Linked DNA regions of Macaca mulatta. The protein of the gene in region 3 interacts with the protein of the main gene of each other region in a biochemical or structural test. Links are inferred from orthologs where the notes say so. Each region holds a gene or a part of one and is shown on either strand. Other genes may lie near its edges.

Evidence for each region. The genes of interacting proteins can lie anywhere in the genome.
Region 1: of the proteins of CASP7 (region 3) and PANX1, one has a biochemical effect on the other in vitro, tested with the Homo sapiens proteins (2 studies listed by IntAct). The link is inferred for Macaca mulatta from reciprocal best matches to the Homo sapiens genes CASP7 and PANX1.
Region 2: of the proteins of CASP7 (region 3) and PTGES3, one has a biochemical effect on the other in vitro, tested with the Homo sapiens proteins (2 studies listed by BioGRID and IntAct). The link is inferred for Macaca mulatta from reciprocal best matches to the Homo sapiens genes CASP7 and PTGES3.

The regions. Positions count from the first base shown.
Region 1 is NC_133419.1:94,944,250-94,948,369, forward strand, and holds the start of PANX1 (pannexin-1), read left to right. Parts: upstream 1-1,498; coding exon 1,499-1,679; coding exon of another isoform or gene 1,680-1,732; intron 1,733-4,120. Other genes in the region: uncharacterized protein LOC114672334, read right to left, coding at 983-1,732. UniProt on the Homo sapiens protein: Ion channel involved in a variety of physiological functions such as blood pressure regulation, apoptotic cell clearance and oogenesis.
Region 2 is NC_133416.1:63,860,469-63,864,606, reverse strand, and holds the start of PTGES3 (prostaglandin E synthase 3), read left to right. Parts: upstream 1-1,234; 5' UTR 1,235-1,483; coding exon 1,484-1,485; intron 1,486-4,138. UniProt on the Homo sapiens protein: Cytosolic prostaglandin synthase that catalyzes the oxidoreduction of prostaglandin endoperoxide H2 (PGH2) to prostaglandin E2 (PGE2).
Region 3 is NC_133414.1:125,839,893-125,843,536, forward strand, and holds part of CASP7 (caspase-7), read left to right. Parts: intron 1-2,348; coding exon 2,349-2,458; intron 2,459-3,644. UniProt on the Homo sapiens protein: Thiol protease involved in different programmed cell death processes, such as apoptosis, pyroptosis or granzyme-mediated programmed cell death, by proteolytically cleaving target proteins.

The DNA of each region.
Region 1 (4,120 bases), on a different chromosome or scaffold from region 3:
GTCCCTGAGTAAAAAAATCTGTGAGTCTTTGAAATCTTTTTGTCAGTTCCTCGAACTGTTGATGTACTGATTAATATGTAAAAACTGACATTGAAAAGAACACTTGACTTGTTTCTGAATCATAGAAACTTTGATTTTCTTGTGCACAAAACATTTTAGACTGTATGTTGTCACCCGAAGCCCGTGACTGTAACCTGTGTACCGCACCCTCCGATGAAAAAAAACCCAACTCCGACATGAGGGGTCCTCCTCCCTTTTCCTAAACTTTCTTCTAAAACCCTTCCAACGTGTAACACATTTTGAAACATGCCCAACTTTGCTGGTAAGTCTTCTTGGCTGGATCCTCACATTTAGCTTCCGATAAATCGAATTATTTCTACCTCAACAGCCTTAATTTCCGTGGACACTTGTCAGAGTATTTCCTCCTGTCTTTCTATCATCCACTTCCTGTGAGCTGTTCAGAAGCAGCTCTCTGCAGCCTCAACACCCAGCTACCTGCAGGCCGCCCCTCTGCTGGCTCCCAGAACAAGGCTCTGATTGGGATGGCAGAGGAAAGAGAAACGGGACCAGCAGCGCTACTCAGGCCTCAGACGGGTCATACTCCACACTCACCAGCGTTTCCACGCCACCATCTCACGCGGAGCTCCTGGAAGGGTCCAGCGCTCCCTCTGCAAGGGACCGTCTGTCTACACCGCTCGATTGGCCTTTTACGGCACTGACTCTTCTTTGAAGTTTTTACAGCTCCTTCTAACCCATTTCACTGTGTTGGAAATGTTAGGGGTGGGGCGTAAAGGGGGCCATCCCGTCCACAGAAAGAGTTGCTTGCAGAAATGATTTTAAAATTCCCGGGTGCCAGGACGTGAGGAGAATGCGGCCGGGAGGGACGGGAGAATTTTCAAAGGTGCCGCTCAGCGGGAAAATCCCTTTGTCGGAGAGCGGGCCCGAGGGGCGCTGGATGCAGCCGCGCCCACCCCGCCTCGCGTCACCGCGTCTCCGGAAGCTCCACGCCCCTGGGTACTCGGTTTCCCCGGATGGTTCCGGAAGAGCGCGGCGCGGCTGGCAGAGAGCGCAGGGCAGGCCCGGAGGCCTCTTCTGCAGCCGGGGCGACGCGTAGGCGCAGGGCCAGAGGGAAGCGCTTTGTCTCGCGCGTGGTTCCCGCGCCTGCGGGCGCGCGGGAGAGGCGCGAATCCGAGTGCCGCGCGCGCCCCGGGGACTTACACCGGCTGAGCGCGCGAGGTGGGACCGCAGGAACCGGAGCGCCCGGGTCCCCGCCCCGCCCCGCCGGCGGCGGAGGCAGCGAGCGCGAGAGCCCAGCGGGGTCGCTGGGAGCCGGAGGCACCGAGACACAAAGGCAGGCGGGATGCGAGAGCATCTGGGGAGCAGGTAAAGGGAAAGCGAAAGCCGCACGCCCGGCCAGTGACAGGGTGAAGGAGCCGCGCAGCTCTCCCGACGCCGGCAGTACCAAGTCCTGCCTGGCCGAGCCTGGCGCGCCGCAGCCATGGCCATCGCCCACCTGGCCACGGAGTACGTGTTCTCGGATTTCTTGCTGAAGGAGCCCACCGAGCCTAAGTTCAAGGGGCTGCGACTGGAGCTGGCCGTGGACAAGATGGTTACGTGCATTGCCGTGGGGCTGCCGCTGCTGCTCATCTCGCTGGCCTTCGCGCAGGAGATCTCGATTGGTAAGCCTCGCCCAGGACGGAGGGGAGTGGCCGCCCCGGTCTGGCCCGGTGAGCTGCGATTTTACGGCTCACAGGCCCGAGCCTGGGCACGCCCAGCTGTGATGGTAGTGAGCGTCAGGAAGGACAGTGGTCCCGGTTTTATGGTCCAAAGCGTTCTTTGCCCAGGTGTTTGTTTCATTGGTACCCTGGTCTACTCTGCTCGCATCCCTACTCCTCAGTTCTTTTGTTCCTTATGCCCCACTGATCGGATTGTGGCTTACAGTTTATGTTCCACCCTTAGAATGGGCACCTTGCCACCAGATTTGCCAAAAATAGCAGTGTCCCCGTTTTTCACCCCTGTCTCCTACGTACTTGTGCAACCGCTTAAAATTTTGCGCCAGAGAAGTTCCTGAGTGGCTACATGGAGAATGTGAAGACCGGTGCTCCATGAGAAGTGTGTTCTTTCACTATCTTACATATAATTGGTGTTTGCTGAGATCTTAGCTCTCTAGGGTTGTGCATGATGGGAAATATCTGCACTTGGCAGGCATTAGAGGGATCCTCCACTTGGACGGTCTTACGAATGTGAGATGAACAAGTCCCCTTCCTGTAAATTCTCATTTGAGCTTCATAACTGTTGTGTGAGATTGGAAAGTCTGGTGGTTTGGGCAGGATCATGTGGCTATGTGGCTTATCTTCCTCATCAGCTGTTCTGACTTTCCACACAGGAGAGAGTGTTTATGAACCAACAGGAAGGTAGTGCAGGAAGGTTAAATACAGTTCTGTGGCAGGGGGAAGAGAGAGGACCCATTGCGACTGGACTTTGGGAAAACTTTGTCAGAGGGTGGGTGGGATTTGGATAAGCAGGAGTAAGACCTTTGTTAAGGTTTTGAGATGGCAGAGAATGTTATATGTTCCTGGAAAGAGAGACACAGTGACCGTCCTAGCCAAAGCAGGAGGATAAGTCAGAGTTCCTGGAGTCCGAGAGTGAATATGGGCCTGGGTCAGCCTGGAACAGAAGAGTGTAGGCTGATGGTTTCAGAACTGTGAAGTTATTGTTTGAGCAGAGGACAGACTGGTTGAAAACAGCACTAAGTAAATACTAGCCTGATGGTGGCATTTAGGGTCTGGGAAGAAGGTGAGAGGATGGGGCCTGGAGGGCTGAGTGCCAGAGAGCAAGGCATCAGTTGAAGTCTTGTGCACAGCAGGTGTGAAGAGTGGAAGAAAACGGGTGGGTGATTGCTGTGAGATCAAGGAGTATATAAGCAGCACTTGAGTACCTAGTTTTTCATAGGCCATGAAGGGCAGTACTGGTTGAACGCGCTGTGGAGGTTGTATGTCTGGCTGATTGGAGTGTGGTGTTGGTGGGAATTGTGAAGTTGAGGGAAGAGTTGATTAGGAAAGAGTGATGGTGAGTGTGATTTTGCAGTCTGCAGCATTAAGTTGTTCAGTTTCGCAGGAAGTTGCCAAATTCATGGTGGAAAATAAGTTTTTCGTTTTCCTGCATTTGCATAGACATAGTCATCGGGATTTTCTTTAACTTTCCATTTGACAGTGAATTGAGGCTTCCAGCTGAAAGGAAACCACCAAGTAGCATGAGTCATGGAGATAATCTCTCCCTTCAGTCAATTCCTCCTTCAGTACTGGCTGTGTGCTGAACTCCGCGCTGACCTCCAAGCACCGGGGAGTAAAAGAGGCATGGTCCCTGTCTTGGAGGTGCACGTCTTGGGTACCTGGTTGGGACAGAAAGGCAGGAGGGAGGAGTTAGTCACCCTCTATGACTAATCTCCACCTCTAGCGCGTGTACTAGAGGGACTCTAAGGCACCTGCACCTGTAATGCCTTAGATACATCTAAATTGGTGGGCTGAGAGGTATTTTGGGGGTATTGGGAGTGGTTTTACCTAGCAAGAGTCTGAGGTCGTGCTGTGTGCATAGCACTGTGTGCTGAGGGAGGTGGGAAAGGATTTTGAGACCTTGTTCTTGCCCTGCCTTCTCCCTGCCCTGTGACAATTTACTATGCAGTTGGGCACTAGAACATATCTATTAGCAGGTAACACCATTCAGCTGTATGTAAGTCAGCACCCAGACAGGTGTTGAGCTATGAGCTCCAGGCTGGTGAAGGTTGGCAGGCACTTGGGTGAGGAGCTATTGAGCAGACGCCCATGTTTTCTGAAGTGTTTTCAGGAGTTCCAGGGGAGGACAGACATGTAGGATGAAGCTAACAGGACCAGGGAAGACCTATTAGATCAGGTATACATTTAGATAAAACCAGAAGAAGGGCTTTTGAGAAGAGGGGAGAGGTACATAGACTAATACATGGAGTTGGTACAGTGAGAGGGATCATGTTATGCAGCATTTAATTTTGTGTAGTTAGTAGTATGCACTCAGCCGAAAGAGATGAGAACAACAATAAAGGGAGAGTGAAGTAATTGAAATGGAGCTGGCACTTTGCCCACCATAT
Region 2 (4,138 bases), on a different chromosome or scaffold from region 3:
CGAGCTATCCTCCCGCCTCATACTCCCTAGTATTTGGCATTACAGGCGCGTGCCACCACGCCCTGCTAATTAGTAATTTCAGTAGAGATGGGGTTTCACCATGTTGGGCAGGTGAAACTCCTGACCTCAGGTGATCCGCCCACCTCAAGCTTCCCAAAGTACTGGGATTACAGGCGTGAGCTATGGGCGCCCGGTCCAAAATGGCATTTGAGCTAGGGTCCAGTTTTCGTAGCTCCCACTACCTGTCGTGCACAACATAGACACTAAATACCTTATTGCTTATTATGAAGCCCCGTTCTTCAGAAACGTTTTATAGCACTTTCGTTAAACCTCCTTCCTGTTCATAATGCAGTGCACTAGAGTATTTTTCCCATACTCCACCGTTAAGTGGCCTCTTGGTAAGCAGGACTGTTTTGGGTCTCTTGGTTACTATCCCCTAATACACCCTATTAGTGTGTTGCACGAAGCGACGGGGAACCCGTTCTCCCCCAAATGATGTGCGTGGAGACACCCAATGTCCTAGCCTCTCCATTCCCAGAAACCTAAGACTCTCCCACCAAATATCCTTCCTGTCTCATCTACAGCACTGAGGTCTCAAGGTAGGGGCAAAAGCCCGCCCCAAATGGCAAATGCTCCTCCTCCGCCAAGAACCTCCAATTTCCGCTGTCCCTAGACAGAGCCTCCAACCTTCAGAAAAATGGCGAGGTAGACCCAGGCCCTTGATTCTGAAGTGAGCCCTTTTCCACAGCACAGCCTTTTCACAGGTTTTTGTGGTGGAATGATTCCTCAGTGAACTGATTTACTCCCTCAAGAGTAACCAACGCTCCATTTTAGTTCTATAGGATCCTGACTCCGTGTCCCTCCGCCTCGGCCTTGCCTCCCACTGCCAACGCAGCCGTTTCTCAGAGAAATCGCCCAAGGCGCATGGCCGGGCAGTTGGGACACCAACGGTTTTCTAACGCGAGAGGACAGCGAGGGAGGAGAGGCGGGAACGCGTAGCGACTAGCAGGGGGCGGGGTGGGGGTGGGGTGGCGGACGAAGGGCGGGGCCGACGCCAGGAAGGATCGCGAAGGAGCTGGGAAGCCCCGCCCTTTCCGTAGATATCTCTAGAAAGCCGCGCCGGACCCCGAAAACAAGGACTGCGCACGCGCGGCGGTAAGGCCCGGGCATTTTGCTGCGTCACCAGCCGCCGCCCGGCCTCACCACCCCTCGTTTGCACGCACGCACGTTCATTCTCCGTCCTCGCGCCCGTTTTCCTACACTTTCCTCTTCTCCCCGACCGGAGGAGCCGCTCTTTCCGCGCGGTGCATTCTGGGGACCGAGGTCGAGCCCGCCGCTGCCGCCGTCGCCTGAGGGAAGCGAGAAGAGGCCGCGACCGGGGAGAAAACGCGGAGTCGCCACTGGAGAGAAGTCGACTCCCTAGCAGCAGCCACCGCCAGAGAGGCCCGCCCACCCGTTCGCCCGTCCCCCTGCCCCGTTCACAATGTGAGTGCGACACCCCGCCGAGGGAAGGTCGCCCAGAGTGAGGCCGAGGCCGCGTTGGGGGCTCCCTGGAAGCGGCCCTTGCCCTCCCTCTGCTTTTGGCCCCATAGCCTTTCTCGCATCGGTGGTGGCAGTCGTTCCTGCCTGGGGGCGGGAGGTCCAGGATCCTTGTTCCGGTTACCGTTGGCGGGTGGAGGACATTTTTCCTCCAGATGTCTGCTTCCCCCACCCCTGAAACGTCCCTTGGCTTCCCTATACCGGAAATCCTACTTTTTCCCTCTTTGGCTGTCTGGGCTACTGGCTTCCTTAGGTAACTTCACCTTAGGCCTTAAGCTCCCCGGAGCTGCTCGCCATGCGGCGCCGTGAAGCGTGAACCCTCGTGGGTCGCCTCGGCTGCTTGGGCGCTCCGGTTCTGCTGCTTTGTGGTCCCCGGGCCAGGCCCTGAGTCGAGTGCACCTGTGGTGGGTGCCGCCAGTTGCCTGGCGGAGCTCCTGGGAGAGCCCCACGCGGGCCTAGCCGTGAGCGGCAGGTACTGCTAGGCAACTAGAGTGAAGCCATGCCCACGCCGCAACATACTTCTCTCTCCAGTGTCTGGGTTTCTTGAGTGTGGGTACTTGAAGTCCGCCTCGTAACTCCAGTCTCTTGAAAACACGGGAGGTTGCCAAAACTCAGCCGCTTCCCTGGCAGCGAGGAGGAGTTACCGTTGAGCAGGTAGTTCTGCACGTGTCTGCTTTGGAAAGACACGGACATTTTCTGTGTTCCATGTTAAACCTGAGGTGAGGTTTCACTATCCTGTAACTGTGGGGTGAAATATGTATGTAATAGGCGTGTAATTAACCTACTGTTGTCCTAAAGAGTTTAAATTTGTGTTGAGATTCTATGGTAGTCTTCATTTTATGATGATAAAGGAAACCTCGGCGATTTTAACCGAGTAAGAATTCTTGGCACTGCCACGTACAGTGGGAACTGCCGGTTTTACAGGGTTTTGTTTTAGTTTTTGGTTTTTTTTTGACGGGAGGTTATTTTTTAAGGTACTAACTGCGTCCTAAAAGGTATGGAGAGCAATTAAGGGGGAACCTTTTTTTAAAAAATATTCCATTCAGAAGAGATGAGAGGGAGTGACTTTGTGGAAAAGTAAGAAGGGTTTGCTTGATTCAAAGTCATGATACTGACGGCTAGAAATCTAAAGGAATGAGTGAGGGATACACTGAAGCGAAGTTTATCACTGGAAACAAGCTTCTAGAGCACAGCATGTTAGAATTTTTGAGGGAGCCCCCTCCCCGAGAGTGATACGTAATCGGGGTTTTTAAAAGTTTGAATCAGGCTGGGCGCGGTGGCTCACACCTGTAATCCCAGCACTTTAAGAGGCCGAGGTGGGCGGATCACCTGAGGTCGGGAGTTCGAGACCAGCCTGACCAACATGGAGAAACCCCGTCGCTACAAAAATACAAATATTAGCCGGGCGTGGTGGCACATGCCTGTAATCCCAGCTACTCGGGAGGCTGAGGTAGGAGAATCGTTTGAAACAGGGAGGCAGAGGTTGTGGTGAGCCGAGATCTTGCCATTGCACTCCAGCCTGGACAACAAGAGTAAAACTCCGTCTCAAAAAAAAAAGTATATAAAATAGCTTTTGTTTTTCCCTTTGAAATCTCTCATAAGTAATGTAGAAGGGACATCAGTCTTAACCTTTCATACTCTGAAAATCTGTAAGGGAAAATTTTTGTCAGATAAGGCATTAAGCAGCTTTTAATAATAGAGCCAAACAACATATCTTTTCGTGAAAAATGTTTAAAATGGGCTCGAAGTAGAAGCACTTTCTGGAGGGCACATGAGATATCTAAATAGGTAAGGAACGGCTAAGTTAGGAAAGTAAATTTAAAAACTTGGGTGAAAAGTGTAAGGCCAGGCGCGGTGGCTCACGCCTGTAATCCCAATACTTGGGAGGCTGAGGCAGGTGGATCACGAGGTCAGGAGTTAGAGACCAGCTTGGCCAATATGGTGAAACCCCGTTTCTACTAAAAATACAAAAACTAGCCGGGCGTGGTGGTGCACTCCTGTAGTCCCAGCTATTCGGGAGGCTGAGGCAGGAGAATCGCTTGAACCCAGGAGTCGAAGGTTTTAGTGAGCCGAGATTGCGCCACTGTACTCCAGCCTGGGCAATAGAGGGAGACTCCGTCTCAAAAAAAGTAAGTGTAGCAGTAGAGAGACAATTCCAAAAAGCAGCCTCTCTAGTTAAAAAAAAAAAAATGGTACCTTCATGCCGGGCGCGGGGGCTCACGCCTGTAATCCCAGCACTTTGGGAGGCCAATGCGGGCGGATCACGAGGTCGTGAGATCAAGACCATCCTGGCTAACACGGTGAAACCCCGTCTTTACTAAAAATACAAAAAATTAGTCAGGCGTGGTCGCAGGCGCCTGTGGTCCCAGTTGCTGGAAGCCTGAGGCAGGAGAATGTCGTGAACCCGAGAGGTGGAGCTTGCAGGGGGGATCGCGCCTCTGCACTCCAGCCTGGGCCACACAGTGAGACTGTCTCAAAAAAAAAAAAAAAAAAAGCTACCTTTAAAACGAGTGATGCGGCCGGGCGCGGTGGCTCACGCCTGTAATCCCAGCACTTTGGGAGGCCGAGGCGGGCGGATCACAAGGTCAGGAGATCGAGA
Region 3 (3,644 bases):
CCATCTGACTTCTCCTGGTCATTGTAGAGACCTGGCAGTAGGACTTTCCCTTCTTCTTAGCTCCCTCCCTTCTTCCCAGTTCACCCTCAGATAAGCTGGAAGGTGAAACCGTAATGCCATTCAGAGTGCAAGGCCACTAGGTCGTCGCTTCGCCTCCTGGGACACCTCCTTCTGAACTGCATTCCTTCTTCTCTCCACCTCCAAAAGTCATTACTTGTTGTGCTTAGTGGCACAAAATATTCTGTAAAATAGATGCCTTCTTTTTTCCAACTTAATGATAGCATCCCTTGGTGAGCCCTAACTGGAATACAGAACTGCACCTGACAGCCATGGCCTGCTCAGTGAAGTTGCTTAGCGATTGTATCAGAGGCATTTGAACCAGAGCAACTCCATATGGAATAGGGGCTGGGTAACATAAGACTGAGATCTACTGGGCTGCATTCCCAGGAGGTTAAGGCATTCTTAGTCACAGGATGAGGTAGGAGGTTAGCACAAGATAGAGGTCATAAAGACCTTGTTGATAAAACAGGCTTTGCAGTAAAGAAGCCAGCCAAAACCCAGCAAAACTAAGATGGTGACAAGAGTGACCCCTGGTCACCCTCACTGCTCATTATACACTAATTATAATGCATTAGCATGCTAAAAGACACTCCCCCCAGCACCATGACAGTTTACAAATGCCATAGCAACGTCTGGAAGTTACCCTATATGGTCTAAAAAGGGGAACTTTCTCAGTTCCTGGAATTTTGCACCCCTTCCTTGGAAAATTTGTGAACAGTCCACCTACTGTTTAGCATATAATCAAGAAATAACTATGAGTATCCCTAGTCCAGCAGCCCAAGCTGCTGCTCTGCCTATGGAGTAGCCATTCTTTTATTCCTTTACTTTAATTAATTAATAAGCTTGCTTTCACTTTACGCTATCGACTTGCCCTTAATTCTTTCTTGCACGAGGTCCAGACCCTCCCTTGGGGTCTGGATCAGGACCCTTTTCCAGTAACAGTTGGGACCAGGTAGAAATTGGAGTCTGGAGAAGTTTCCCTTTATTCCTGAAAGTTGATCTGTGATCCTTTCATGTGGAAGGAAACAGGACTTGATTTAGAAGAAATGATTCTAATACTGGCCAGGCGTGGTGGCTCACACCTGTAATCCCAGCACTTTGGGAGGCCAGAGTTTGAGACCAGCCTGGCCAACAGCCTGGCCCTATCTCTACTACAAATACAAAAAAAATTAGCCAGACGTGGTGGTGAGCACCTATAATCCCAGCCACTCAGGAGGCTGAGGCAGGATAATCACTTGAACGGGGGAGGCAGAGGCTGTAGTGAGCAGAGATCACGCCATTGCTCTCCAGCCTGGGCAACAAGAGTGAAACTCCATCTCAAAGACAAAAAAAAAAAAAATGATTCTAATACTGGCTCTGCCTTGGGCCAGCCACATCACTTTTAGCTAATTATTTTCCCTTGGGGTGTGTGTTTCATCCAGCCTTCCGTTCAGTTAAATATTTTAGTAAGCACCTTCTGTGTTCCAGCTACCTCTGCCATGATGAACTTATATCGTCTTATGGGAGCCAAACAGCAGAGTGCAAATAGGAAGCCACATACAAAGGCTATGTAGTAAATGAAGACAGAGGGTGGGGGTGGGAAAGGGCCAGGTGGTAAATATTTTTGGCTTTGTGGCCATCACTCAACTCTGTTGTGGAGAGGAAACAGCCATAGGCAGTACATAAATGAATGGACATGGCTGTTTTCCAGTACAACTCTATTTACTGAAACAAGTGTTGGGCCATAGTGTGCTGACTCCCAGACTAGATCAGAAAGGTCCTTAAAATCCGAGGACGTGGCTTTAGATTTGAACTTGTAGTTAATGGGGATCTCTTGAAGATTCTCAAGCTGGAATGTAATTTGATGGAAATCTATTTTGTGTAGAACCATGTAAAAGCATCTGACGGAAAGAGAGCCTAATGCCCCAGGTTGTTGCTGCTTTTGAACTGCGTAGGAGCACTTCGTGACCTGCTAGGAATTTAGGGGGAAATTGTCATGGTTATAAACGTTGACAGACCTTCCACTGTTTCTTGTATGCAGTGAACATAAAACAAAATTGTGGATGCTGGATTAGAAGCTCCCTGAGGGCAAGGACTTTGTTTTCTTTGTTGCCATATGTAGTCTCTGGGATGTAAGCATACTCACATATTTGAATGCATTAATGGGGCAGTAACCCTGAATCTTAAATATGCAAAACTGCTCACCCCTAGGCATAATGGAAAAGCATGTCACCTAATGAGTGTCATTTAAAAATATCACAGTATCAGTGATGCCACTGACCTCATGGCTTGTTTTTTTTTCTTTCCAGATGGCAGATGATCAGGGCTATGTTGAAGAGCAGGGGGTTGGGAATTCAGCAAATGAAGATTCAGTGGATGCTAAGCCAGACCGGTCCTCATTTGTACCATTCCTCTTGAGGTAGGTTTGCTTAATCGGGGACCCTGGACCACATCAGCCTGCCGTGCCTCTGCCATCTCCACCCACCTATGGGGAGGGGGACACTCAGGGAAGGAGGTTCATGCTGAGCATGGGAGGTTTGCACAGGTTCTTGCTAGCCACATACAAAGGCTATGCAGCTGTATGCAGCAACACTAGGGTCCTGCATGCGGCTGTATGCAGCAACACTAGGGTCCTCATGTGCACCCTCTTGTCTGTGGGCCAAGCCCAGGAATGGATAAAACCAAGCATTGGGAGTCTCCTGCTCAGCGGCCGAGTGTCTGGTAGCAGTTCCTAGGAATCAAGGGCTGTTCTCATTAGAGGCGATTTGCAGGCACCTTCAGAACAGAGCTTGGGCTGCTGCTGCCAATGGGACCAAATTTGACAAAAAACACAGAATCCAGGGGCTGAGGGACAGGTTTTAGGGTGACTCACACCTACCCTGTGCCTCCTGCTGCATTCCACTGATGGAAGGGGGATTGCATCCTGTTCATTAGTTCCCGCCTTCCCCTTTCTTGAGTTCACTTTTAAAATCTAAATTTTGTGTTTAATAATATAATAGCTTCATTGATTAAACTCTTGTATGGCTGCTTTGTATTATTGCATTTAGTCTACATAATTGCACATTTAGTTTTATTGTTGTCACCATTTATCAGGTAGGGAAACTGAGGTGCTGTGAGGTTTAATAGCTTGCCTTTTTGCTGACAGTAAATGATAAAGCTGAGAAACTAAACAATGCCAGCACCACTCACTTAAAGGTTCTGCTGTGTGCTTCCCTTTTAAAAGTAGGGCTAGCTTGGCGCAGTGGCTTACACCTGTAATCTCAGCACTGTGGGAGGCCAAGGAGAGAGGATTGCTGGAGCCCAGGAGTTTGAGACTAGACTGGACAACATAGTGAGAGCCCCGTCTCTACAAAAAAAAGATAAGAAAATTAGCTGGGTGTGGTGGCACATGCTGGTAGTCTGGCTATTCGGGAAGCTGAGGCAGGAGAATCACTTGAGCCCAGGAGATCAAGGCTGCACGGGACCATGACTGCACCACTGTACTCCAGCCTGGGCAACAGAGTGAGACTCTGTCTCAAAAAACAAGTTGTTTTTTTTTTTTAATAAAAAATAAAAGTAGGACTGCAAGGACTTGGAGGAACCCCAGACCCTCCCTTAACCTTGAT